4 linked regions of the Drosophila melanogaster genome follow. The protein of the gene in region 3 interacts with the protein of the main gene of each other region in a pairwise test. Each region holds a gene or a part of one and is shown on either strand. Other genes may lie near its edges. The genes, in order: gdrd, CG4960, DCTN3-p24 and PSMG1.

Region 1 (3,022 bases), on a different chromosome or scaffold from region 3:
GGAAAAGCCAGTAGCAAATGTCAATGTCTCGCTGAAGTGAATGGCTTTCACCTCCCAAGGAGCTGGGCGTGACCTTTTCACATTAATCTCCAGCTTGATGGCGTTTTAATGCAGGAAACTCAACTATAACTATATGGTTATTTATTGTGATGGGTCTGACAGATGTTGTTCCTGATATGGGATATGGTTTGTGGAGAGCCAGAGCCTAACGAACTGGGAAATGGTCTCTGAACATTCAATTATATCATCAATTAGTTGGTCGTGCAACATGTTGCAAGAGTGATTTGGACAGCAGATTAGGCAACAGCATGAGACCACTTGGCATAAACAAGGGTAGGGATTTAGAGGGTTTTTTCATATGTACATCTCTACTAATTTAGATTGATCGCGAGCTGTTATTTTAAATATTTAATGTGAAATATGTGCGTAAAAAAATGTCGATAAAACTCGTAACGAGTTTTATGTTATGATTCTGTGAAATATAAAAAACAGAGCTTTAACTGTTATAACATATAATGAGTTGGGTATTGTAAATATTAAATATTAAACGTATGGCTTTCTTATATTTCTTAATCAACTATTTATTTATTCCGAGTACATTTTATTTTTAATTTGTAATTTAACTTCAGTGACAGGATTTCTTTACAACATTTTTTCACCAGATTCCTACACTTATTTACAAAAACTTAATTTATCCCGTAGTTTATTACGCCCGAAGATACAAGCGAACAAACTAGAGCGAGCTGAAAAATGTTGCCTACTTAGCAGCGCAACGAGTTTTCAATAGAAAGCCCATAAAGTGAAAGACGTCGCAAAAGTCAAAGCCTTGCCACAAGCCAAATGCCAAATGGCATTATCAATAGAGGATTCAGCGAATCCCGGAAGATATAGAAAGCCAAGTGTGTGAATTTAACTTGGTGCAGTCATGAACATGCATTCGCAGCTACAGCTCCATATATACATCTTAGTATGTGTGTAGTGCCATGCCATTTATTCCATTGAACAAAAAGTCATTTGTAAGTGTTTTTATGCGTAACGGAATTTATGAGGAGCAGTTCCTCAGCAGATTTATTGCTTTATTACGATGTGGCAGAGCGATGGGTATCAAGATGGGAATCCAGTTTGGCGACAAAGGCCAGAGAAAAATAAAGAAATGGCTGGCAAATATTTAGCACATGGAGGCGAAAAACTCACTGAAAGAATGATGGCAAAGAGCCATGGGAAAAGGGGAGGGTTAAGGGGAAAATGGCGAGAGAATGAATGCTGCATTTCCTCCCTTTTCGGCTTTTGTCTCTCTTTTTCTGCGTACGGATTTTCCTCGAATGGTGGCGGGCTGTGGGTGGAACGGGTGGACGGAATGGGGTGGACCTTGAGGGCGTTTCACATCGTCGACATCGTCATCAGCATCATTCTCATTGCAGTCGTTAAGTTATAGACTTTGATTTCGTTCGCCTCGTTCAGCTGTGGGGAAACTTTTATCCTCACTGCCACCCAAAGTGCGTCCTTTTTGGCAGAGTCGTTTCAGAGATTTATTTGCCTTGTGCCCTGGCAACTTTCGACTCTCGACATCCATATCCGTATCGTTTGCTCTCCTCGCTCTTAAATTGCTTTAATTGATTTCTGATTTTATGACCCTGCTGAACACATTTCACACATGATTACATGCCAAGTGGGTTGCGATTTCTTAAGAGGTTTTAAATCCGTCTATTCTTAATTTTGAAGATAATTAAAACGTTGGTTTTAAATAAAAAATATAGTTTGATGTGTCGCTTAATTAAAAATGTTTCAACGTTGTGACCATCTACTCATATTTATGGAGTTTGGATTAATACTATTGTTTATTGTATAGAGTTACTATATCAAACATGCTGCTCTCGATTTTGTTGTCAGTATAAATTCTGTCTTTGATCTGTTTGCACTTAAGTCTGTTCTAGTTCACAGCTCCTGAATAACTATTGAAATTTCTGAAATATATTTTTTTTGTCAAAATGTCGGACGACGGATCTGATATATTCCAAGACCTTGAAAGCTACGAGCCCTATACAGAAGGTAGCCAAAACAATAGTGACGAAGCAACTGCAGTGGGGCCTCTCGATACCTCTGAGGACGCTCGCTTCTCCGAGCAGGTATTCTCGAACATTCAGGAGCGTCTGAACCGAATCATTAATCGCATTAGCATGGCCAACTCTGCCGTGGTCCAGATGAAGAGGAAGCTCCATGCTCGAATTCCATCCGTACCTGTTGGCGAAAACGCCGACCAGTTGGCTGGAGGCGATAATCCAATGCGATTTGAAAACGTCGAACAAGAAAACGAAACCACCAACCAATGATATAAGAACATTTTTATATTTCTCATTTTCAAAAATGTATAAATTTATTGTATTTATTTATTGTTATTGTTATTGAAGCCCATTTAACAAATCACAAACAGACCCGAGTTAATTGTTAAAAAATTATGCATTAACACAAGCCAAGGATTCGAAAACTAAGCGCATATAATAAACTGAGCAATGAGCAAAAGCAATACATTGTATACTGCCCTTATCGCCATAATCTAAACTATTTTCAACGATATTTGCAATTTATTAGTGGCCCTCCACACACAATTGCCAAACTTGCTTTCATTCGGTCCACAAACTTTGTGGACTTCTTTTCGGCGCATAATAAACTTTTCATTGACCGCCCTTCAAAAATGTTACCCCAAGCAATTTCGAGCAGCTGCATATTGTCAGGGGGCCTTTTGTTTTGTCGAAAACTTTGCAAAGTCGGAAAATTTGAGACTGAAATTTGCATTTGCCTTTCGCCACATTCACATAGAAAGACGAATTGCCTTGGAGCCAAACAAATATGTTAAAAGCAATAAATAAGAAAGGACATTCTTCAAGTTCGTCGTCTGCCGCTCGAGATATTGGCAAAACGTATTATATGCGATAAATTTCGACAGAAAGCTGAAGTCCGATACTTATCAGTGGAAATGAAGCCAAACATAATTTGCCATAAAATGCCGTTGCAGCGGCATTAA
Region 2 (8,483 bases), on a different chromosome or scaffold from region 3:
GCCCAGCCAGGGAAGCGTTGACAAAAATCAAACAATGAAAGCGCTGTTCAATAAAAACAAAAACAGATCCAAGAGATGAGCAAAAAATAAAGGGGCAGAGATAAGGTGCAGAAGGCAAACGGGTAATCCAAGGCAGGGCAAACAGCAAGATAAAAAACAAAGGCAAACGGGCTGTGAAGGTTCTTTTTGCTCTCATTGGGCCAAAATGAAGTGGCAACAAAAACAAAATTGTTGGCAAAGATAGAATGAATGTGCTGGCTAATGCTGAAGACATAGGAAAATGAAATTTAAGCGAAGTGGGATAGCACACACACAACAACGCATAGCAATGCCAAAGGATATCAAGTGTGAAGAGTGCTTAACTCAATAAGGACTCAATGACAGGACTCATGCGGCCAGAGCTTGAGCCCTTTCTGCCCAGCATCCTTTGAGCGGAGAGAGCTAAAAGCTGTAAGACTAAGCTTTTTTGCAGAGAGAACCAGTGAGAATGGAAAAACACATACGCTCTCTCTAACTCTCTCTCTCTCTCTCTCTCTCTCTCTCTCTCTGAGAGAAAAAGAAATTCTTCTCTTTGAAGGAATTTGTTTACTGACCAGTGCTCTTAGAGTTCCTTCAGGTGGCATACTTGTTACAGCGATTGTAAACCAATATAGGCATTTCAATTATTAATTCTACAGCCATTTCACATTTTCTAATTATATCCTGCAGATATCTGGCAGCAATTAAAATCCATTTTAAATAGAGCAATTGGATTCAGTAGCCATTTATTTAGTAAATATCAAATTAATCTAAATTCCACTCGATTGACAAAATGTAGACTTACTTACATGTTATATCGAAGTGTCCTTGCTGGTTACACAACTTTCCTGGCCTGCAGGCTAATAAGTTCTCAATAACTGTCTGGAAAATGGATTTAGCTCGAGACTTGGACGCACACCGTTAATGCAATTAGGACATTAACCCCTTGGTGCCAAGATGATGGATCGGGGCCGTTGGCTGGTCGTTCCCTGTATCGTTGCTCAACTAATCCGTTTTAATTCTTACGCCACGTCCTTTGAACTTTGACACGCCCAGAGACACGGACACAGCCGAAGACAGCTATCCATGTCAAACAGCTGCAGCGGCGCCTAAAAGAATGCTTTGTTTGTCTTTCATTATGTGGGCTTTGTTGGGGCGTGGCAGTGTCTTTGTTTCGGCTTCAGCTTTCAGCTTCCAGCACTGAATAAATTACATTTTTGCTCGAAATGTATGTCGCATTCCGTGTGTCATTGACGCCGCCCTTTCCCTCAAGAGGTCACAACTTTTGACTTTGTCCGGCATGGGAAAATCACTTATTGCTTCAACAATATTTGATTATAATTAAAATGATAATTCGATTTTCATGGCAATTAAACTTCATAGGCGTGTTTGGGTAGTATTAAATTTCTATAATATACTTTAACATCTTTGAAGAAATCAAATGGTTCTAAACGTAAATCTTAATTAGAAATGCGTCTTTTACTATATATACTGGTATTGATATTCGAAGCATTGGAAATTCGATTTATTGATTTCGCAGCGTGTTGTTGTTCGCACTTAATGAAATCATTTGGGGCCAGAAAAACACAACACGCAACATCAAGCATACGCCATGTGGCAAAATTCATTGACTTCTGGCCACCCTTGGCCGAAATGAAAATGTTTAGTCAAGTGTTGCCTGACCTCCTGCTCACACACACACTTACGCAGAGCACATGCTCAACTGAGCAGCAGAAAATACATGGGAAAACAAGCGCTTTTCCCATTTTCCCCTGGAGGCAGCTATTTTTAAAGCTTGGCTCTTGGACTCATGGAAATTTCATTTGCCTGCTCAGGTTCCTTTCGGCCGGATCGGCCTAACTGCGGTAATTACTCACACTTGACCCGAAGGGTTGTCCGGCCGGGCGAAATCAACTCGATGGCTGAGCTGGATGCAGATAAATTGAAATTTTCCGGTCTTGCTGTACAGAGCGGCAGGGGGAAGTTGTAAGCTAAATATGAATTACAATGTTCCAAGCGGTTGAAATTGCAACTGATGAAGTTATGCAATTTGTGGAAAAATATTTGCCACTGTCCTTTTTTCTGACTTTCTGTGTGTGGTATCGAGTTGATTGGATTAAAAGCTACTTCCCCGAAATTCGAAAAATCAGTTTGCTAATACCAAATAAGTTGTTTTCCGCCCAACCGGTGACAAATAAATCCTGACCTGAGTTTGGCTGCTGGGTTATTAAGTAAATGTGGTATTGGCACAAGTTCGACTTCACATAAATCCACTTGTTATAGTTCACTAAACATACGCACACACGCACAAATACGTCCAGAAATAAACAATACTTTATTTACAATGTAATGACATATAAAATGGCTGCCTTTGCCATTTCTTGTGCTTTTTCTTCGTCTGTGTTCCAGTTTTTTCAGGTTTATTTGCCAGCGGTCAGTTGCTTAATTTCTTCGCTTTTATTTGCCACAATTTCAGCATTGCAGCATTGCCACATGAATCTGGGTGTGTGTTTATGTGTATTTGTGTGCGAGGTGGGCGTGGCCACGCCTCCTCCAGCCCACAGATTCATTTCGGTGCTTGCTGTGCTCTTGCCTTTCTTATTTATTTTCGTAATAACAATAAATTACATTTTTCTTCGGGTTTTCCCCTCATGCGAGTGTGTGTGTGTGTGTGCTCATTTGCTAAGTTGTTTTATGTGGCTGTCGCCTGTTTGTGGCTTTTTGACATTATTTGGATTAAGAAAATAAATCCTGGCCATGGCTGGACAGCAATTTTAATATTTTCACTCCACCCCTCCAGCGGCAAGCAAACTTTGATTTTCATTTTGTTTCTTTTTTCCCCAGTTGTGCTCAGGGCAAACCAAAGTTTTAATCTATGGAATGGCTAGAATCAAATTTTGGCTCTCTGGCATAGAAAGTTTTTCAGCCTGAACTTGTCATTTCAGCAAAAATACAATTAAACAAGGTAAATACAAAATTCCCACTCTGCCAGTCAGGATAATGCAATCGTACGTAAAAATGATATCACATAAAGCTCATGGGTTAAACGTAAAAACAGTTTCTATAAAAAATTCAGCATGTTTACATGCTGGCATTTTAAAGTGAGGAAAATGCAACAAGCTCGTATTTTCATTTAAAAAAAACATTACACATTGCAAAATTTAACTAAAGGCAATAGTGAAAAAACTATGCTATCCAGTTAGTACTCACGGTTCCATTAAATATAAACCATATTTGCACCTTTTTCAAGTGAGTATTCATGTAAGCGAATAAAATATTGAAAGCAATTTAAGTGATAAGTTCAAAATATGCAAAACAATATTTATTAAAAATTATTATAACGCAATGTAAAATATTTCAAATGTTATTGATGCATTCTTTCGAGTTGCATAACTTGCCATTTTTCCAGCATGTTTATTATTCTGTAAATATATTTGACAAACATGCACTGGCACATAAAAAAAAGCTGAAATTGACTCGAGTAAGAACCGGAAAAAGAACAATGAGCAGCGACAAAATATGTGTGGCATCGGGATGCTTTTTACGCGCAACATTTATTTCGCATTCGAGGACGTCTCTCAGTGAGATATCAAACTCATACACACAAGGAGGTACACACACACAAGCACACCTACAAAATGGCACACAATCGGTAAATGGCTTGCATTAGGCATAGACTTTCTAGACTTTTATTCAGATTTTCCCCATACATTATCACTGTGAAACTTCCAAAATATATAATTTCTTTTCGAATGTCACTTAAAGGATGGAAGTGCCGTTCTGAGCCGGAATACCTCTTCGAGTTTAAATTCGAGTCCACAAAAGCAGCCGCGCAAGTGGTGAGATTTCATTTTTACCTTTAACCAGGATAGATTTTTTAGGATTCAGCGACCACTGGTGCTCCTTCCAACAACAAAATGAATACATCATTAAAATTTATTGCGAAATGTATCCGATACGAGGTGAGGTTGTTTTGCAGACCGTAAACCAAATGCATGGAGTTAACGCAAATGTTTGTCCTAGTCGTCCTTTGGCACTCCAGCGGACATCATGTCGACGGGATCGTGAAGCTTCAGGAAGTATGGTCGGACCAGCTTGTGGTAGATAAGGGTAGAACCATTCCGTTCGGTGGGCAGCATGCACCAGATGAGGAAAGTACACTTCAACAGCCAGTAGAAGGGAATCATCGAAGTTAGCAGACTTGGATAGAATTCAATCACAGTGAAGATGCCAAAAGTGACCCAGTAGATCAGCCACCTGATGTCGTCCTGCTTCGTACTGGACTCGATGCCATGGATGGAAATGTAAGCAGGGTAAAGAACCCCAATGATGTTGCACAATAGCTGAGCGCACCAGCCAAAGACCAGGTAGAAAGCGCAAAACAAAATACTACCCACGAAAATATTCACCCTCTCCACACCGGTCTTCTCTTCCAGGCTATCAAAGGCTTTGGTCCACGGCTTGGACGCATCGCGCAGTGATCGGTTAATGTCCTGCTTGTAGCCGTTGAAGAACCGCTGCACCTGACTTACCTGGGCGGCCATTTTGCACAAATGAGAATTTAATGTATGTATCTAATTGTCAATCAAAATTGTGTAACGCCGCCGGCTTTCTAAATGCCAGTCGATTTTTTTTTTGTTTGCATTACAAAAACGACCTTAAATTAAGGTAAAAGCCGCAAAATGGTATCTTGTATAGAAAATTTAAAAATTTATATTTTTGAATCAGCTCCGTTCTTTTTTTTCTTATAGAAATTACCTCTGTTTTTCCTCTTCCTCCATTAAGTATAATAAACGGTTGCCTAGTTTTTGGCGCAGGCCGGGCTAAATGGCATAGCTTAGCCTAATTGCACTCAGCTTTAATGCAGTTGTGAATAAAGCAACGCCAGCGGCAGACACGTCATAATTTGGTGATTTTCCAACAGCTTGGCCCACCATTTCGCGCCAAAGTTTTAATTAAGCAAAGGCCAGGAGCACGCGCAGAATACCCCATTTAGTCCGACTTTTCGTTTATCCACATCAAAATTCACATTTTCCATTTCTTTTCAGACTCATTTTCTGCGGCAGACACGCACTCACAGCTTTGCATGGCTTCCATTCATTCACTCATTCAAAATGCTAAACAATTCAAAAAAATGTGTGTAACTATCCTCGCCCTTCCATTCGTCGCCTCCGACCTTCCATTTTTCCATTTCGCAGCAGCTAAATGTGTTGCGCTTTTGTCTAGGCCAACTGAATGTATTTTCGTTTCGGCCTTTTTCTCCTTATATTTTTCCACGAGTACCAACTCGGTTCATAATTCAAAAGCCTCTGACGGCTGGCTTTAAAATGCCTGCGGCTGTGGCTGCCATGTTTTATGTTTATTAGCTCGTCTAATTGAAATGTCTAATGGGGGAGTTTATGAAAAAAGCGGAAAATCCGCTTCCACCAGCTTCAGAGGCCTTCGTATTGCCACGGATCCAGGAGCCCTTCCAGCTCGAAATGCTTCACCATTTGCTTAATAGAGTCCTGGATGCCAGGGTTGAGATACAGCCGCCTTTTCATATCCATTCCACGCGGCTGATCCGAAAGTAGGGCGGCGAAATCCGCATCAGTTTCATCGGTGTTTAGCAGCACAGGTAGCAGCAGCAGGCCACAATGAACGGCTTAAGGAATATAGATTATCACTTTATTTATTTCAAAAAAAAAAAAAAGTACGAAAGACTTGGAAGTATATATATTTTGTTTGCATATTCATTTGCTAATCTCTTAGAAATTAAGTTTACCCACCGTAAAATCGTTTTTGCTCTGACTCCAGGTGAAACTGCTTTCGACTGGGCAACCTTTGACCTTTGAAGCCAAGTCTCTGCAGCTCCCCCACGAAGACATCGTGATAGACACCTCTCATCTTCATTTGCAGCTCACTCCGCACTTGCTCCACAGCCGACGTGTTGAGCAGATGATGGATGTCCAGGGTGGGCGAACCCCAGAAGGCGTACTGAAAGTCAATCAGAAGGACATCGCTCGGCACGCCCGCCTCGTATTTGAACATCATGTTGTTTGTCCACAAGTCGCCGTGGGTAAGGACATTAATGTGCGTTTGCTCTTGCTTAAAACAGCGGAGTCCTAGTCCCATATAATAGGGAGCCAGTTCGTCTAATAGTTTTGCGTGGTGTTCATAACCCGCCTGAGTTTTAAGGTAATTGGCACAGGACTTGAGGCAGCCCAGAAAGTAGGCACTAAAGCTTTCTGTATACCTATTGAAGAAGCCTTTATCGTATTCAGTGAGAGAGAAGTTATTTTCCAAAAGATTGTTCTCCAAAACCGCTGATGCTGCCTGCATTTTGGCCAACTTCCTAAGAACCAAACTCACATGCTGCTCATCCAATCTCTGAAGTCTCGGGGCCATCACAAATCCCTTGTAGCTCAGATCTTCCATTATGAGTGCTCCTCTTTGACGATCGATGTGTAGTATTTTAGGACATAGTTGCTCGCCGGCTAGTTCCTGCAATTTTGGTAACACTTGCTCGTAAATCTCCAGTTCCCGATTGTAAATATCATATGGGGCTTTCTTCATTTTCGTCTCCGCGTCTTCATACTCTAGAACAGTCTTGGCAATCAGATGTTCCTCGACTATGCTGCTGTACACAAGGTGTATGCGTGTTAGGATAGCACCATAGTTTTCTCCTTTCCCTAAAGCGGGATTTATAACCATCGATTCCACTCGAAGTTCGTTGTTCTGGTAATACCGACGCAGTGCCGCTTCCAGGTATTCAGCTGTGAGCCAAGCTGCCATGACTGCCCTAATCAGACTAAAATTGTTAAACTTAGCTACACAGATTAGCAGCAGCCACTGATAACTCAAAAGCTTTCAGTTTACAACTGAATAATAATTGCATGTCTTATCGCAATATAAGCACACTTTCTGTGACTGCGATTACAGTCACTTTGTTTATATTTTCGGTTTAAAAAAAAAAAACTCATAAATGCAAACAGATGTTTGCTTGGAAAACACAGATGGGGATTGATTTAGTTATAGCCATACCGCTTTGAAAAAGCCCAGTTCAATGGCAAGTGCCAGAAAGCCAATCTCGAGGTTATCCATTAACAAATTAGTATCGAAACTTTAGCTATTCCGTTAAAAGAACATACCTAAACTAATCTCACGAGTTTCCCAACTTGTTTTGCCTAACTTTATTGCCGTACGAAATATATGCCAGTGTATATATATGTAAAAAACCGGGCTAACATCACCCGTCCCATCAGCTGGTCTAATCGCATGCAAAACCCCTTTCACTCAGTTGGCCCGAACCCTTCCAGTTCGCCGGCTGCCAGTGTCACAGTTCGGGGCTTAGGCACCTCCGGTCCGGATTCAAGTTCCGGCTTCGATTCCGGCTCCGACCCTGGTGGTCTGCTGCAACTGTTTGCAGTGCGACGAATGGCGCACTCATAGACGTAGTTGGCCAGAAACACCGCAGGAGGAGCAGCTAAGGTTGCTTCAACCTCCGGACCTGGTGCTCCCATTGTAGCTACTGGAATGTCGACTGCAGACGTTGCTCGTTTTCCCATTGATGTTCCATTTCTAGCCAGAGATAACGGTCGATTGCAACTGTTTGTGCTGGTGGGTGGCTTCTGCTGCCACATGTGGCCTGTACCCCGCAGACAGTTGGCCTCGATCACTATAGCTACTCGGATTAGTTAGGGTTTGAGTTGGGTTTGTGGAGGGTTAATTAAAGTGCTCAAGACCACTTACCGAAAGAGATGCCAAGCAGGGAGCACATAAGAAATATGCAGTTCATATTGTAAATTGTTGCCAGTTGAAGAGCTCACACTGTTTTGTCGATGTATTTACAGATTTTTGGTTCAAGGACTACTTTCATCCAAATTAGGTTTACAGAATCGTTCTATACTTAGACCATTTTTGTGCATTGCCTTGGTAAAGTTTCTTGGCCAAACTTTCGACACTTGTTTTTGTTGATGTTTTTATCTTCTGAGGCTGCATCTTCTGCTGTATCTGGAATCCATTCAAATTGACGCATTGACAATTGTTTTACCAATTTTATCTCGCTTGTTTTTCGACAGTTGGCCAAAAAGTTTGTTGCCTCCATTCCCCAGCAACGTTTTGACAACTGCTACGGCTGCTGCTAGTGGCATTGGCATTGTTGCTGCATTTGTTGCAGATTAAAGTTGCCGCTACCGTCTTTTTATTCAATTTTCCTGCACTTTTCCCTTCTTTGCATAGCCAGAGAGATAGTTTATCAAAACATTTTCAAGTTGCAGTGCGGCTGCAAAAACAAAAGCACCCAAGACATCATCGATTTTCTCGAGTGGAATGCGCCTCGATGCGAAGTGGGGTTGTGGCTACAAGGAAAACAACTCAATCTCAATGCATGGCACTTAAGCAGCTGAAGGAGCAGTGGCAACAGTGGCAGCCACTTGGTTGCAAGGTGCAGATCCTGCCACGACAGCAGAATGCAATTTCTGGAG
Region 3 (8,895 bases):
ACTTTCACGGGCGGGCGGGCGAATCAGAATACTTTCACACAAGCGCTTTGGACACAGACTGAAAAATGATTGGCAGTGGTTTCTTGCTTTTTCTCCTCTCATTTGCGTACTGCACACACAGACTCACACAGGCACACACGCCCGAATGCACGCACACAGGCACAGGCCAATGCACACGGACTGAACTTTGTACCCAGTGCAGACGAGTCTCAATTTGTATTGTCAAATGGCCAGAATGCTAAATTGATCAAATTGAGATTCTGGGCTCGAATCTTGCTCCCAGGCGGTGCGTGTGTGCGTGAGTGTCTGTGCGGCGTATCTGTGTGCAACATCGATGATATTTTAATTGGCCAGCAGCTGAATCGGTGGCCGTAACACTTACGCTAACGTCGAGCTCCCGTGTTTCGATTTTTGTTTGCAAATAAATTCAATTCCGCCCCCAACCGCAGCACAGTGTGACCGTTCGCGGGGAGTTCCAACGGTAAACTGGTATTTTGGCATCTGATAGTATTTCATTAATTTATTTGGTATTTTCTACACAGCGAGAAAGCTATAGACCGTTATTAGTGGCTTCTCTTTAAGCCAAAAAATGAAACTGGCCATAACAAGATGCTTCTCTTATTCAGGAGCGAGCTGGTACCTCGCGAAGCTTCTCGGTGCGGTCCTCGTGGGTAATGATGACCTCCACGGCGCACATGTTGGGCGTCAGGAAGTTCTCCAGGATCTCGGAGCCTCGACGCGGCTTGCGATCGAAGGGGAAGCCCATGGACTTGCGATCCGGATAGAGGCGATCGCGCAGGCCGCAGTAGGAAGCGGCGATGCTGCAGCCGCAATCTGCGACCGTCTGGTCAACCTGCACAAGGAAAGAGGATTGGGATCAGGAGGCATTCGCAGTATACTCTAAAGACACCTTACCTTATCCTCTTCGTAGTTGGAAACCATGACGAAGAGCTCGAAGCGCAGACCCTCGGGCCGACCCTTCGGAATCAGCATGTGCTGGGGCCAACCGCAGCCGCACAAGAAGTTCTGCAGCTCCTCCAGCTTGTCCAGGTTGCGGAAGGTGCGCTCGAACGGAATGGTGACACTCGACTCCGTGGAGTTCCGGGTGATCGTATGGCTGCCGGGAGGCATGGTAACCACGAACTTGTCCAGCTCCACCATCATCAGGCGCTGTTGCTCCAGCAGCATGGGTGCATTGCGATCATCCAGCTTGGGCGCCAGGAAGATGCGCACGTAGCCATACCGCGTGGCCTCGCTGGAGTTCTCCACCTTGATGGTGTAGCTGAATTCGTGGTGCTGCAGATGGGTGAACCGAGCGAGGACATGGCCGCGCGGCACAAAATCAAGGCCACGGGACATGTCCACATCGGACTCCTGCCAGAAGGTGGTCAGCCTGTTGACCTGACCCTGGCTCTCCACCTGGATGCTCTCGACGCGAACGTCCGGAAAGCTGAGCTCTTGCTTCTCATAGGGAGAAAGCAGACGTTTGTGCTCCTGGAACATATTGTCGATGAAGGCGTGCCACTTGTAGAAGATCGGATCGCGCATCGCGGTGGAGGCGTCGCCCATCACGCCCGCGTACTCCAGGTGCTTGTTGGTCGGATCGTGTGAGTAGGCAATCAGTATGTGCCCCATGTTGTGGAAGTCGCCGTACTGCAGATGGAAATAATATACATGGAAAGGTGATCTACAGATTATCACTTAGATTCCTTACCAGCGTACTGTTGGGCGTCAGATCGGAAGCCTCGATGATGTTGCCCAGGATGTCGATGCCCTTAGCGTCATCCAGCACGATCTTTTCATTGTTCGTCTAAAAAATAACCAATTAGTTGTTGGATGCATGTACTCCTGGAATCGGAGAGCTCCCCACTCACATCCAAAACGTAGCCCTGATGGATGGCCTCGTAGATGCGTTCGCGCCAGCGCTTCATATCATCGATGCCAACCCTCAACTGGTTGTTAGGCCGGTCCACATCGCTCAGCCGGGTGTTATCGAAGCGCGGAGGATACGCCCTACTGGCCACCAGCGAGTCCATCTTGGGGAAGTAGCCCTCGGCAATTGGTTCGTCCAGGTTGTTGAACGGCTGCACCCGGGCCATGTGGTTGCTCAGCCGCTCGGCATTGTAGCGGGCAATGATCTGCTGGTGCATATAGTAGAACAGCTCGCCACGACGGTCCTTGTCCACGATGCTGCGGTCGGGCGCCTCTATGGGATAGACCAGATGCCAGTGCCAGTGGTGCAGGTTGACGCCCAGGTCCTCGCGGAAGTACCACAGCCGGTGCTCCACATCGAGATCGGAGGCGGTGTACTTGACCGAACTGACGACGGGCAGGCGGGCGGCGGAGCGCTCCACCACAAAGGACTCCTCGCGCATGCTGCGAAGCATCTTCGAGTCGATAAAGCGATCCGGGAAGGTCTGCGCAAAGGCGGGCAGTTCGAGGTCCTTGGTGTCCGGACGGTGGAGCAGGGCCACCGACAAGGCGTAGTTGAAGAGCACCGGATTGACGCGATCCCTGGCGTACACCGCCACGCTCTGCAGCTCATCCACGGTCTGCATTTTGGTGAAGATCTCGATCAGGTGGCTGGCCATCTTGCGGTGGGACTTCAGGAAGATCGAGAACTGCTCCGAGCGGCCCAGTCTCATGGAGCAACTGAGATCCGGTATGGCGATCTCCTTGACTTGAACGTTCTTCTCGGACGCGCTGCTCACGCGCCGCTGGACCTTCTTGCACATCTGATTGTAGCGATCGGTCACGTAGGAGTCGGGCACGTCGAAGACGGTGCCATTGCCACCCTTGTCCATGAACACGGGCTCCGTGGGATGATCGAACAGAAGGAGCAGATTCTTCTTGTCGGCCATTTTCGATGGATTCGCGATTAGGAGGACCTTTAGCGAGCAGTTGCTGATTCTCAACTGCACGTCCCCACCCAACTATCAGCTCCTTTTATACCCAGCAGCCGAAATGCCCTATGGTTACATGGCGAACATCTCAAGTTCGTCAACCCCAAAAAACAATCTAAAATATTACTAACTTAAGAATTTTTAACTATTGCCATAGTATAAGCATTGAATCACAGAGTTCCGAAAAAAACATTTTTAACCGATAAGATGCTGCTGATTCATCATAGTCTGTTGAAAACTTAACGAACAATGTATTTGTAAGTTTCAGAATTTTAATTCACAGATAAGTTACAAATATTTGAATCGTATAATATCCTATAAGGATATTAACATTTCCAGTACGTGTTGTCTACATCGAAAATACTGAATATCATTTTTTGATTATTTAGTCTTCATAAGACAGTTGTAAGTATTTATTTAATTTTTTTTGTGCATTAAATTAAATTCATTAAATTTTCAATTGTTTCCAGTGTACGTCATAATTAAGCTTATCTCGCAAACAGTATTTTGCCGCTAAGCACCTGCGGTCACACTTATTCGTGGAGCACCAGGAGAACGTAAACAAATGGAGCACGAGGTGGCTGTTTCAGGAGGGGATTCCTCGCTGGAGGAGATCACTGGCAGTTCGAAACTCAAGCCCTCCAAGAACACGGCCATCAAGTGCCTGAAATGCGACAAGGTGTACATATTTCCGTCAGATAAAGATGACTGCCTGGCGCATTTGTATATGGAGCACCGACTGGTCATCGCCGATGTGGAGGATATAGCGCTTCTGGAGGACTACCTCCAGTACTGGGAAAAGGAGTTTCACAGTGAGAGAATCAGCAACCCTACCCTGAAAATTTAATAATTGTTACCCATTTTAGCCCACGAATTCGAGCAATATTGCACCACAATGTTCCTGGATCAGCTGCCCGATGGCAAGTACGCCAAGAACGAAAAGTACTACCTGCTGTGTGACATCCTGCCCCAGGACTACGAGCTGCGGCGAAGGTTGAAGGAGAAGCGCCTAAGTGAAGCCCTGGAGCGACATCAGTTCGAGCTAACCGACCGCACCTTCTCCAAGGAGTGCCTTTTCTGCAGGGCCATCATCAAGGGATTGAGGGCGGACTATCTGGACCATCTGTTTGACAAGCACTTTCTGTTGGTCGGCAAGCCCGAGAAGCTGGTGTATGTGGACGAACTGCTGGATCACCTGGAGGAGAACTTGAATCGGTTAATGTGCCTCTACTGCGAGAAGATCTTCAGGGATCGGCCCACGCTCAAGGAACACATGCGCAAGAAGGGCCACAAGCGGATCAATCCGAACCGAAGGGAGTACGACAAGTACTTCCTTATCAACTACAATCGTGTACCAACGGCCCCCACGCCCCGGAAACAGCACCTCCAAAAGCGAAGACGGGAAACGGCATCCGTGTCCACAGTTGCTGATCCTGAAACCGGCAGCGTGGACTTCGACAAGCACTTCGCTCGCCCTGATTCGGATGGCGAACACGATTCGGACTGGTCGGATTGGGCGGCAGATGGTGAGCCTAGCTCCATTAAGTGCCTGTTTTGCCACCATCTCGGCGACAACTTCACCGCCCTCAAGAAGCACATGCACGAGGTTCATCGCTTGGATTTCGAGAAGGCCACCAGCTCTCTGAACTTCTACCAACGCGTCAAGGTGGTCAACTACCTGCGCCGCCAAATGTGCCTGCTGCGCTGCGTGACCTGCGATCTGCAGTTCGACGAGGAGGAGCTGCTCGTGGAGCACATGGCACAAGAGTCGCACCACGGAATCGGCGATAAGGAGAGCTGGGACAAGCCCGAGTTCTTCTTCCCGTACATCGAGAACGATGGTCTGCTGTGTGTGCTGGATGATTCCGGAGGCGATGACCCGGACGTCGATACGGTGCGCATCATCTCCGAGGATAGTCTGGCGCAGATCAACAAGGATGCGGAGCGGTTGTCCCTCGAGAATTTTAAGCTGTTGTAACTGAGATTTTTGTATTGTACAGTTTACGTTTAAAAGAAACTAAGTAAATAGCAATGGAATTTAAGTGTGTACTATATTTATAGATACGTATGCACCAAAAACTTTATGCAGAGGAGCTAAATATTTTATTTAAATACCATATTTTTTAGTCCGCATAAGGGTTAATTCGTTCTGCTTAGCGAGTACAAGAACCTTGCCACCAAGCTAACGTTGCCACCTTTTCGTTGGACATCGATTGTTTTGCAGACTGACATCATTCCCATCAAAACGAACAAAATAAAGAGAAATTCAGCGAAAAATGGAGGCACTGGACATTCTGGAGAAGCGCATCGATGCCCTGACACGAGTCCTGGGTCCGGTCCAGGACTCTGAGGTGGGCGAGGGCGTGGTCGACGCCCTGTGCTCGGCACACGCCATCCTGGGCGAAGCAACCACAGGAAGTGCTGCACTGCAGCAGTGCGTGAAGAGATCTGACGAGCTGGAGAAGTACCTGGACCCCAACTTCCTGGAGGAGCACCAGCAGGTGCGCTCCAAGGAGGTGTACCTGCAAGCCGTGGCCCCCGAGCTGCACACGCAGGCCGAGCAGCTGGAGAGGATTAAGCAGCTGGAACCGGCCCTGGGCGCGGAGTACTTCCGCAGCATTCCCGCCGAGTGTCTGGAGCAGCTAAAGGGCATAACGCAGAACAACGGGGAGTACGCGCAGCAGAGCGAACTTATCGAGGAGAGTCTGGTCCTGGCCATGAAGCGATATGGCGAGATCCAGGCGGGACTGCTGAGCTCCCTGGATGCCATGAGCGAGCGCTTGGACCAGGTAGAGGAGCGCATGGAGCAGAGGAAGCGTGCAGAGTTGAGCAAGGATGTGCCGCCCAAGGATTGAGCGGATATAGATCCAAAGACTGCTGAAAGTATTTTATACGACCCCGTTTCCAAATCCGTTCACCTGAAAATCTGGTTCCACTTAAGCTGAAGGCATCAGTTGCTCAAGCAATGGATGTAACCTAGGTTCTATTGAAAAGTGTAATCGTAGCTAAAGCCATCCCGATTTGATTGGAACTGTTTAAGGAAGCCGGGATATTAGATTTTCTAACTACTCCAACGTAAAGTGGCTAATGATGCTCTTTCAATTGTAAGTTTCATTTTTAAAAACTATTTAACTAAGCACAATAAACTAAATTACAAATCTAATGAAAACCAATCAAAATCCTGTCTTACAGAAGGAAAATGCTATAATCACATAATAGAGCACAATATGGATTTATCATTGGCTGAATTTTATTTTTATTATCTATACAATGTATACAATACGATGTGACACTTATGTATGTAGGAATTGTAGAAGGAAATAGTTACAAAATAATAATTTACCCGCGGAAACGCTCTTTCAACAGTAAATTTCCAATGCTAAAGTTTATATTGTCCGGACAATAAGAAACTTAGCCAGAATTAAAAGTAGTTGGCGCACCACAAGCCGAATCCAAAGGATATCCTCTTCACCAACATACAAGGCACAGTCTTGACTTTTCTTCTTCCCAAGAACAAAGTCCGGCGCTCCTAGAATCGCAGCTCGTTTCTAACTATCCTCTCGTATACGGATGGGGTGAGTGGAGCATACACGCCATCCGGTTGGGCGTAGAAGAGTTCATCGTCGATGATCTCCGGATTGAAGCCCTGCTGCTGAAGCTCCACCTTGCGCAACTTGAAGGTGCCCGTCAGGTCGATTTTGCGCAGGAATCTGAGAAACTGCGGCCTGGCGTAGTTGGGCAGGGATTTGGCCAGTTCCACGCCCAGCTGGCTGACGTTGACCTCCCGAGTGGGATCGTAGATGGCTGCCATTCCTGCTCTGCCCTCAGTGTTGGGTATGCTTACGCCGTACACAATCACATCCTTGTAGCCAGCCAGATTACTCAACTGCGCCTCCACCTCGCTGGTGGAGACATTCTCACCCTTCCAGCGGAAAGTGTCGCCGGTCCGATCTTTGAAGTACAGATAGCCCCGCTCATCGGCCACCAGCAGATCGCCCGAGATGAAGGCCATGTCGCCCTTGGAGAAGACATCGTGGACCACCTTCTTGGAGGAGGCCTTCTGGTCAACGTAGCCGAGGAACTCACGGCAGGGATTACCCCGCACAATCTTTCCAACGAAGACGCCTGGCTCATCCGCCTCGCATCTCTCACACAGTCCTTGGCTGTTCCTCAAAGGCTCTCCCGTATGTGGATCTGCTTTTATGATCGATATTGGGTAGATCTGCGGCAGTATGCGGGATATGAATCCAATGGCGCCCACTGTGCTGTCATTGTTCATGATGTTGGCATTGCCCTCAGTGGCTCCGTAGAACTCGCCCACTTTTCGAATCCCGAAGCGCTCCACGAACTGCGGCCAAATCTGTGGACGCAGTCCATTTCCGAACACCATTCGCACTTGGTGGTTCCGATCGTGAGGAGCCGATGGCGTGGCCAGGATGTAGCGCGCCATCTCCCCAATGTACTGTCCCACCTGGCAGAAAAATAAGGCACATTAATACAACATATTGGATGATCCAATAGCCAGTTACCGTGCATTGGAAGCGGGCGCAGTCTGAAAAGTAACCGGAGGCGCTGAATTTCTTCCTTATGACCACGGTGGAGCCGAAGAGTAAGGCCTGGCCCATGCTCATCACTCCGCCAGCGGTGTGATATAGGGGCAAGGGAGTATAGAACACATCCTGATCCTTGAAGCCAAGCGTGTAGTGAATGCCGGCAGCTATGAAAAAGTACCTGAAAGTAGAGGAATCGTTGTAAAGGAGAAACTTACTGCAGCCAGTGGCAAATCTTACCGAGAATGCGTGATGACGGCTGCCTTGGGCAAGCCCGTGGTGCCCGACGTGTAGATGTAGACCAACTTGTCGTGATGATCCGCCCGAGAAGCGCCGGCGGCCACCTTATCCTTGGCCGCCGTCTCCAGAAGGCCGTTCAACTGCTGGGCCAGTCCCTGGCTAAGGCCCTCGGAAGCCACCACCTCCTGGTTGGACTCGTCGTTGAACTGATACAGTCCGACGTGGGCGGGCAGATCCTTGGCGATATCCATCACGGCCGACCGGAAACTGGCGCCGTAAATGAGCGCCGTGCACTGGCCCACGGTAATGCTGTGCTGCAGTGAGGCTCCACGGAGGTTTGTGTTAATCAGCGGCGTGATCACGCCGATCTTGGAGAGACCAAGCCAGGTGGCTACAAATTCGGCGCGATTCTCGAGCAGCAGACCCACCACGTCGCCCTTTTTGTAGCCGTGACTGTGGAACACGTTGGCCACCCGGTTCGAATGCTCGTTCACCTGGCGGAAGGTCCACTGCTGGGACTCACTGACAATGGCCAGTTTATCCGGCTGCCGGGCCACATTTGACTCAAAGATGTCTCCGATGTTCAGGTTCTTGCGCTCCTGGCGCTTAATGAAGAGCAGCACACGGATGTAGGCAAAGAGGGCTCTAAGGAATACAGTTTTAAAAAAACTCTGGAACTAACTTCCCAATCCTTGTTACTTACACAGTATCCCTGGGTGTGGTAACAGCTGCAATGTAGAACCAGCGCCATCCTGGACGCACCAGCAGTATGGATATCAATGCGGCATATAGCGTGGCCACTCCATACCAAGGCCCTTGGTAGTAGAGGATCAGACCGGAAATGGCGGTCAGGACAGGTGCTAGGATCCACTGAAGATAACGGCGGAAGTTGGATTTGGCAGGTGGTTTCAGGTTTTCCGGTTCGTTCATGGAAATGGAGACCTACAAAGTCACAATTTTAGTAAAGATGCATGTGTTTAGATTGCCAACTGCGAGAAGGAGAACAACGACTGCATCACTCATACGCCGCGTAAGCCCACATAGGCGATACGGGTCTTAGATAGCAAATAGAATAACCCCCCGGGTCTGACACCTCCAGATGAAGTTGATTCAAAGCTTTTCCTGATCTTCAGCTAATTGCTTGTTGTTTAATTTGCACTCTAGCCACCGTAGTTCCATAACCCAACCCGCATCAATCAATT
Region 4 (8,527 bases), on a different chromosome or scaffold from region 3:
GAAGCTCCCGCTTGACTGCCCTTTCCTCGCAGGCAATCCATACCAGTGGTCGCCAGCGTTTCGGGAACGGTGGCTTCGCATATGCTGGGCGGTGACGGTGGCGATGGCGCTTGCAGAGGGCTCTTTGATTTTTCTGTTTCCGACTTTTCCTCTGGCTGAGCCTCTTGAAGCGGCTCCTGTTCCTTCTTCTGCTGCTTCTCCTGCTGGGCAATCGCAGTGTTGACCTTGTTCCACAGGTTGCTGATGACAGCGTTATCCTTGCCAGCAGCTGCCGTTCGCTTCGCAATCTTCTCGATGAAACTCTCGGTTTCCGGAGCAGGATCCACTGTAGTTTCTACAATATTTTGCTTTTGCTGCGATCCGCTTTCGCTGCGCGAGTGCGAGATAAGACGCGGTCGTATCTGCGGTCGCTCTGAGGGCAATTCTGGCAGAGTAGCAGACACCGCCAGACCCTGGCTCACCAGTTCCAGCATTATGCGCCGTGTGATGCCGAACACAAGATGCTTTTTCTCTTCCGTAATGTATGCTTCGTACTGTTTGGCCTTACTTTCATCGTTGCCCACCGGCGCGGGACGACGCAGTTTGGCCCGCATGGATTCTACGGCTTGCGCACCCGGAGGTTGCTGGCATGATCCATCCGGTTTGAAACTGACCAAGTCGTAGACGAAGTCCTTGTTAACCGCTTTAACTCGCTTACGGATGGGACGCTTCTCCTGGGAATGTTCTCCAGATTCGGGTGAGATTTGGGTACGAGACTTGCGACGCTTTTTGCTGGGCGTGGGAGTACCCTCCAGAGGCTCCTGTCCGGGTTCTTCTTTTATCGCGGCTGTTGGAGATTTGGGTTGCACTTCACCTACAGATTCTGTTAGGGTTTTGAGATGCTTCAAGCGTCTTTCGTAGGTTTTGATAGGGGGTTTAGCATCCTTCTCCATCACTGTAAGCTCCTCCTCCTTATCCAGCAAAATTATATCTCCGTCGACATCGTCTCGAGAGTACTCGCACTCGTGGGTGGACACATATTGCTCCGTCAGCTGGTCTCGGTCTCCTTCTATCTTATGAGTAAATCCCAAATGATTTACAATATCGTAGCGCCTAAATGCGCGATATTCACACAGGTTACAGCCAAAACGGCGTGCGCGGTAATGAAACATGGATATGTGACGACGTAGGTTCCCGAGGGCATTGAACTGCTTGTGACAGATCTTACAGCGACATCGCAGCTGCTTCTCAACTGGGACGTTACGTTTCTTCTTGGCCTTACCCTTGACATCTTCTGCATCGGCATTGGATTCAGGTCCGGCCCCTGGTGTTAGCTCGTGCTCGTCGTCGGTGTTAGAGGCTTCGTCACTAGCAGAGTCACTTACATTGCCTAAGTTAAGCTGGTCCAATGACACTGTGTGCAGACCAGGTGCAAATGAGTCGTTCGGCTCTGGTAGATCGGCAAACATCTCATTCAGAGTAATTTCCTCGGTTTTGATCGGTTTTTTTTTCGGCAGGTCTATGGACGTCGTTGGATCCTCATCAGCTGCATCCACACTGGAATCATTGCTCTTCATCTTCAGTTTTTTGACAGAAGGAGCAGGCTTAGCCAGCGCCTCCTGCTTCGCCCGACAATTAAGCAGGTGTGTTGACAAGGCAGCGCGACGCTCGAATGATTTTTCGCAATAGATACACAAAGACATGATCTTACGGTGCTCACCGCTGGCATCTAGTGGCTCAGGGACATAGCCCACCACGTCGTCGGAGAGCTGTAGGCGCTTCAACTCCCGGCAGGGGCCCTTCGGCTGCACATCTCCTTGCTGAATGCGTCGCTTGAGGATAGTGTTCCGCATCATTCGAATACGTCGAGTTGGCTTCCTGAAAAATTAAATTGCAAAAGGACCAACATTAATATTAGTTCACACATTGCATGTATAATTTTTAGAAAAACCACTATCCCTATAAAAATGTATCTGTTATATTTTTATTTATGATTATTAGTTGTTCTGTTTTTATGATTCAGGGCTTAAAAAATTCACATAAATAGAAAGTAAATTAGATTGTTTCCTTGGAAACAATATGATTTTTGACATATACATATATGTATAAGGAATGCAGTATGCAGTAAGCAGATATAAATGGACCATGTGAAAGAAAAAAGGAACCTGTCCCCTTGAAGTAGAATAATATCATATATTTTATAATAATAAAATATAAAAATTCTATGGTCGGGTTAAGTTGAACTTACTTGTGATCCTTCGACAAATGACGAATAACAGCAGCGGCCTGCAGAAAGGTCAGCGAACAGGCTGGGCACTGAAACACAAACGCCGATGATGAGTGATGCTTCTGAATGTGCACCTCAAGCGTTTTGTGCGTCTGAAACGTCAGATTGCCTGTGAACGAGATTAGGAAACACAGCTATCACTAATTGTATTCAAGGCCTATTCGGTTAGGTAGTCGTACAGATCTCGCAGAAAATACTCGGCTCCGTTTCGTCGCTGATGGACTGCTCGCCGGAGTCGCTGCCTGCATTGTTTTCCAGCTTAACGGTTGCCAAGGCCTTGCCGTCGGGTCCCACAATGGTTTCAGATGGATTAAGCATGCGATGCACCTCGTCCAGTTCTGTCCTTATGCTGTCGTCGTGGTCCACTTTGATGGTCTGATAAACAGCCTGGCTAGAGTTGGGCACAGACTCCAGCTGCAGAACAGTGGGCGAGCTGCACTTGGCCTGTGATGTAGCCTTTTCCCGTCGCAGACGCTCTATAACACCACTCAGGTCCCTTATGCCGCCGCCACCTCCTCCTCGTAAGGGACGCACGTCGCGGGGAACAGGCGAGCATCCCGTGCTTCTGCTGCGTAGCATATGTTCAATGTCCTGCGGGGACGGACCACCACCCGTTTGTATGATCATAGTGGAATTCTGATCCTGGGGGAGAATTAACAGCGATTAGTTGACATCCTATGGTATTAGAGACCTTGTAATGGGGTTGTCTTTACTGCCCACTCACTGTGTATCCGCTGCCATTTGCCGAACGAGCGCTGACGCAGCAAAAGACGCGTTTGTGGCTGATGAAATTGGCCAGGCTGCGAAACATGTTGCGGCACACCTTGCACTCGTAGATCAGGCTGCACTCCAGACTGAGCAGCTGGCGCACCTGTGGGAGAATCTGATTGTTATCCGGGGATCCACCAAACTGGGGCGCAGGAGCCTCCGCCATTGCGGGCCACAATTGAGTCACGTACTCCACTCAGATGAGACTCACCTCGCTGGTGCCATCCTCATAGGCCCGACGGGCCTCCTCGAATCCCGTGTGGGCGGTGCGCAGCGGCCGCTGCAGCAGGCTGATGTCGTCACCGTTGTGGTCCATCTGCTCCTCCTTGAAAGTGTCAGAGTTACAACGTGAGCTTCGCTTTCTCATGGCGCTGGTTTGCGCGCTTGCTCCCACTGCTAACCAAAAAATTTGAGACCTGTCCTAGCGCGCTGCCCTACGGAATATTTTCACCGACGTGAGGTTCTTAATCTGTTTCTAATTAGCGATCAAAGTGGTTTTCCAATTCGAATATGGACCTGCATCTTGCATTTTTTGTATTCAGTATGACCGTGCTTGAGCGCTGCTTCTGCTGCGATGCTGATCTGGTATTTTTATTAACCTGTGCGGAATTTTTTGTTTCAACTTAAAAAAAAACGGAAGAGTCGAAAATATTTAATCAGGCAAAACCAATAAGCTGGAACCACATTTGTTTTAATATTCGACTAGAACTAACAATTGAAGTTTGATTTCTCCCTTGCTCAGTGGGCGTAACTTCCATCAATTCTCAAAACCCCCAAACAATATTGTCAATACATAATTTTGGAATTAGCTTATTGTTAAATCTTTAATTGACATGCCAAGCCCTAATAAGTTCAGAAAAAGCGCTAAAAGTTCCTAAATATTACCTGCAAATGTAATTTATTCAAATAGAAAAACGTTTATTTTGGCGTTCAGCACATGGTCACACTGATGACTTGAAAAAAACATAGTGACCGGAATTAGGCTCATCATATTAGTTTCACCTTTTTTATTAAATCAAAACAGACACGATGAGCTGTCCAGGATTTGGAGAACTAAATATACCCTCGTCGCGTGCCTTCTGGGACGACTGCGACGAGGATGAATTGGAGAACCTTAAGCCGGTGGAGAAGTGCGTGATCTAATGTTATTTACGTAGGTAGTCCTAATTTCTTGGATTCGCAGGCTGCAGCTGAAGTTTGATGATGATTGCGATGGGGAAGCTGCCCCTGTGGAGAGCGAGATGCTGGTGGTCATTGAGGGCGTCAACGTCACTCACTTCGCCTCTTCTCTGCTGGAAAAGGATGCAAAGCGTGTGTGCGCCATTCCTGCCAATAACTCGACCCTGCACTGGAGTCATTCGTCCAAACAGTTGCTGGCCATAATCAACGAGGACCTGACCAGTAGCGGCGAGGTAGCGGAGCTCCTACTGCCGTACGTGAAGCTTGCCAAGAAAGTGATCACTCTGACGCTTAAGCCAAAGGTCGAGTTCAAAAGCGAGGACATCCAGCTCTACCGGGATCACATTGCCGTTGTCCGCGGCATAGGTGCCAACCAGAAGGATATCACTGAACTAGAGGCTCCCAACTTTATCGCTGGAGTTGCAGCAGGCGGTGAGTGATGAGTGGAAAAGGAGAAGGTTGAATCACCTCACCATCTGTTCACCTTTTTTTGCAGTTGCCAGTTGGCGGGATCAGATGGAATTGCCTGTTACCTCTTTCGTTATTTACACCGACAAGCTGCCCCTCGACGCCACAGCTGCGCAGCCAGTGATCAAGGTACTTAAAGCCGCGGGCGTTGCCTGCAGCTCGAGCTACATCCCTCCGCGGAAGGAGAGCTCTTATTTGTACATGTGAAACTACTTTTGGCTGTGCTCAACTTCCTAGTTTTAATGCTTGTAAAAATGATACGGTTGCGGAATAAAAATCGAACTACTTAAGTACATCAAAAATGCTGAGGTTGTCCTCCCGACTACGTTGCTCCATGTGCGCCTTGGCGATGGCTATGAACTGTGGACGGGAAAGCATTGAATAGGCGGGTACCAGCAACGATGAGGCAAGCATGTGCAGCTCCTTGTGCCCACTGCAGAACATATCGATGCCTAGTTCCAGGGCGCTTCCAAAGTCCGATTCATCAACTGCTATGTTGGCTGCGTTGGCCACCGGCTGCAGCTTCTCCAGAACCGCCTGCTTGGCGGCTCCATTATCGACGTCCTTCCGCTCAAGCATTGCCAGCATCTTCTTGAGTTCGGAATCGCTGACAGCCAGCGGGCGGTATCCCACTTCTGTCTTCTGGTCAAAGGGCACAACAATGCCGGCTCGGTGGAATGTCTTGGCCACAACACGCTTGTTGCGCTCCCGCTGCAGTCGGTCCAGCTGGGCCAGTTCTAGGGAATTGTCACTCAGGTATTTTGCCACCGCCTTTTTGGTCCCCGCCAACTGCCCGCATGAGAACGGAGTGGCCGCAAAATCGTGCTCCAGGTAGTAGAGGAAAGCATCGAAGGCATTTCCAGCGACGAATTGGAACTGGCAGCCTTTCGCAGAGTCGTTGCGGGCTATTAAGAGATTTTCCTTGTCCTGCGGCACATCGCGCCAGTAACCGTAGTGAATCCCAGTGCCTCGGCGCACGAAGATCGTCTGAAATTCTGGTGGATCGTAGTAAAAACGCCAGTGGCGCAGGTAGTCTCCCGGTTCGCCTAGTTTGGCGCCGTGAAATTTACCGGCTAGGAACTCAAAGGGACCCACCAACTGCAGTTGAAATACTTTGTCTAGGTGCTCCAAGCCAGCATCCTTGGGCTTCGCAGGATCAATTTTTAAGCTTCCCACAAACTTCCAAAATTCGTAGAAGTCCGGCGGCATTTCGACAAGGAACTTGTGTCGAATGAACTCGTTGGACTCGCAGAGATTGTCGTACTCCTTCTGCACGGACAGGCGGATGCGCTTCTCCAAGATCTCCATGTAGTTCTTTCCGGATATGTTGCTCATGGCCTCTTTGTGAAGCTCCTCGGTTTCGGCTTCATAACTGCCCTTGGCTGTATCCTTGTTCACCATCTCCGTACTTGAAGCACTCGTATTGGACTTATCCTTGTTCACCGGCTCCGTTTGTTCTTCCTTTTTCTGTTCACCAGACTGCGAGGATGCACTTCTTTTTGGCGCCACTTTTTTGCCTTCTGCGCCGTCCACTTCGTGTTCTTGTTGCTTTTTCGGATGATTGTATTTGGACAAATGTGCGGGATTCTGCTGATAGCACTTATCCCAGTATTTGCAATCTTCTTTTGGCATTCTTAAGTAACAACAATACCGATTTCAAACAAATTTGCAAAATGTGAGGTTTGCTATGGCACAATTAACAAGAATAACAAGCATCCAGTGACGCCGTTAAAAGTTGCAAGGGGATGATTCTGACCCATTTGAGAAAAATACTTTACCATGACAGCTGGGTAATAGAAAATACTACACTATATACTACAGCCCAGACATTTCCCCTTGGTGAAAAGCTAATAAACTTTTCATAAACTTGTATACTTTTATTGGACACTTAAATTCAATTTTAGTCATTTTTTTAGATCTACGCCCATGTTGACTTCCCTGGATAAGAAGAAGCACTCTGCACACACCCCCAAAAGTGTTGTAAAATACCGCCGGAAATCACCAGTGACTGGCAAAAACTGCACTGAATTGCATGGAGATTTAATGGGGGGATTCATTTAATAATTGTAGTTCATTCAATGAATACAAACTTCACGAAGAGAATCGAAATGTTGATGGTTAGGGGTTAGTACAATTACAGTTGCGTGTGGATAGGCGCTTCAAGGGGGAAACACTATTCTAAGCACCTATGGAACAGGATTAATCCTCGACAGCACACATGACGGAGTAGACGCACTCTTCCTTGTTAATCAAGTGGCAGGTCTTGTTGACCAGGGACATCAGCTGGTTGACGTCGGTGGCCCAGTTGTTCAGGATGTCGGAGGCGCTCTTTTTTTGGGTGAAGTAAATGATGCCGGCGGGACGGTCGATCTTTACGCGGATGGTGTCGGTGTTGGCCAGTTTAGAAAGATACTCCTCGCAGCGGCTGGTGGGCAGGTTCAGCAGCTCACTCATGCGCGCCAAATGCAGGCGGGAGTAATACATGGCAATGATGCGAATGTTCTATGAAATAACCAGTAGCAATTAGTTATTATTAGTATTGATTTAAATCAAAAAAAACCTACATGCTCTATCAGACGATCCTTAAGCTCGGTGATACATTTCTTGCCATGCTTGGTGCTATCCTTGAACATCTCGTTTTCAGCCAACACGAGCCCAAAGTCTGCATTAAATGTGTCGAAGTTGATCAGCTCCTTTGACATGAACAAGCGCAGAATTTCCCTTTTAAATCGAAAATAAAATAACATGCTCGAAATGTACTTCAAATCAAATGTACTTACTTATAGGCGGGCACTTCCTCCAGCTTCTTGTTCTTCGAAAGATGTGCCATCATGTCGCTCTGTTCGTTGTCGAAGGGAGCTAAAACGCAATAAAGCACGGCACAAACCAGCTTTTCCGTCAGTTCCTTCTTCTGCTCCTCGGTAAGTTCAATTTCGACCTCAGCCTCTGTAGCAACCTCTGGCTTCTTATCCTTGTCATCTTCCTCCTTCTTTTTCTTATCGTCATCCTTCTTTTTTTGCTCATCCGTGGACGCGGCAGAGTCTACGGGTGTAAGGCCAGTCTTCTTGCGCGGAGGCTCCGCTATGGCCTGATAATGGCGCGAAGTATTCAGGAAGGAGGTGTCTCTGTTCAACTGAATCATTAGATAGTAGAACTTCAGCTTCAGATCATGCTGTGCCGGATCGTCAAAGAACTTTATACTGATCTTCTTGGCAATGATCTGCGTGGATACGTAATCCTCCTTCAACAGACAAAGGCGCATCTGCTCCAGGATGAGCTCCACCTTCTCGCGCTTATCCATCGAGCCATAAGTCTCCACTTGAAGCTCCTCCATGACAGTGGCAGCTCCGGCGACATCGCCATCGGCTTCCTTAATGTCCGCCAGAATCTTAGTAAGACGGGCCCGCTCGATCTCAACGTAAATCTTGCCCTCGGTAACCGAGCGAAGTGTGTCGATAAGCTTCAGCTTAGTCTCTTTGTCGGGCGTCTTGTCCACGTACGTGACGCACTCCTGGATCATCTTGACCACAGCCTGCTTCAGCTGGGAGCGACGGCGTACCAGCAGAGACACGTACTCGTTGAGGGCGTTCCAGTTGGACGCGTCAAAGCAGATCTGACAGATGGCAACCAGGACTCGTGAGCAAGAAACCATGTCGGCGCCCAGGCGCGTCTGCTTCTCCAGTTGTAGCATCATCTCGATGGCTTCGTGAAAGGCGTCGGGGTTTTTCTTGGCCAGCTCCTTAGCCAGGGGGATTTTCTCGTTGCACGCCGGCTCGTAGTCCACCTCCATCTTGGTGATGCGGCCGCCATCAAACAAATAGGTGTCCATTGTGTTCTACAAAAAAA

The links.
Region 1: the proteins of DCTN3-p24 (region 3) and gdrd interact in a two-hybrid assay, tested with the Drosophila melanogaster proteins (one large-scale study listed by BioGRID).
Region 2: the proteins of DCTN3-p24 (region 3) and CG4960 interact in a two-hybrid assay, tested with the Drosophila melanogaster proteins (one large-scale study listed by BioGRID).
Region 4: the proteins of DCTN3-p24 (region 3) and PSMG1 interact in a two-hybrid assay, tested with the Drosophila melanogaster proteins (one large-scale study listed by BioGRID).

Annotation. Positions count from the first base shown.
Region 1 is NT_037436.4:14,689,441-14,692,462, forward strand, and holds gdrd (goddard), read left to right. Parts: upstream 1-1,906; 5' UTR 1,907-1,988; coding exon 1,989-2,330; 3' UTR 2,331-2,522; downstream 2,523-3,022.
Region 2 is NT_033777.3:25,782,661-25,791,143, forward strand, and holds CG4960 (uncharacterized protein), read right to left. Parts: upstream 4,639-8,483; 5' UTR 4,563-4,638; coding exon 4,038-4,562; 3' UTR 3,669-4,037; downstream 1-3,668. Other genes in the region: CG31380 (uncharacterized protein), read right to left, coding at 5,451-5,662, 5,787-6,792; CG31093 (uncharacterized protein), read right to left, coding at 7,290-7,681, 7,750-7,795.
Region 3 is NT_033778.4:23,058,795-23,067,689, reverse strand, and holds DCTN3-p24 (dynactin 3, p24 subunit), read left to right. Parts: upstream 1-5,096; 5' UTR 5,097-5,179; coding exon 5,180-5,758; 3' UTR 5,759-6,270; downstream 6,271-8,895. Other genes in the region: PPO3 (prophenoloxidase 3), read right to left, coding at 623-853, 916-1,653, 1,715-1,810, 1,875-2,861; CG9890 (uncharacterized protein), read left to right, coding at 3,469-3,715, 3,770-4,881; Fatp2 (fatty acid transport protein 2), read right to left, coding at 6,433-7,374, 7,433-7,634, 7,694-8,338, 8,397-8,635.
Region 4 is NT_033777.3:5,789,759-5,798,285, reverse strand, and holds PSMG1 (proteasome assembly chaperone 1), read left to right. Parts: upstream 1-3,968; 5' UTR 3,969-4,063; coding exon 4,064-4,164; intron 4,165-4,217; coding exon 4,218-4,645; intron 4,646-4,709; coding exon 4,710-4,888; 3' UTR 4,889-4,963; downstream 4,964-8,527. Other genes in the region: CG10979 (uncharacterized protein), read right to left, coding at 1-1,857, 2,228-2,375, 2,446-2,908, 2,991-3,137, 3,246-3,401; Hpf1 (histone PARylation factor 1), read right to left, coding at 4,964-6,313; Rpn5 (regulatory particle non-ATPase 5), read right to left, coding at 6,881-7,183, 7,246-7,402, 7,462-8,510.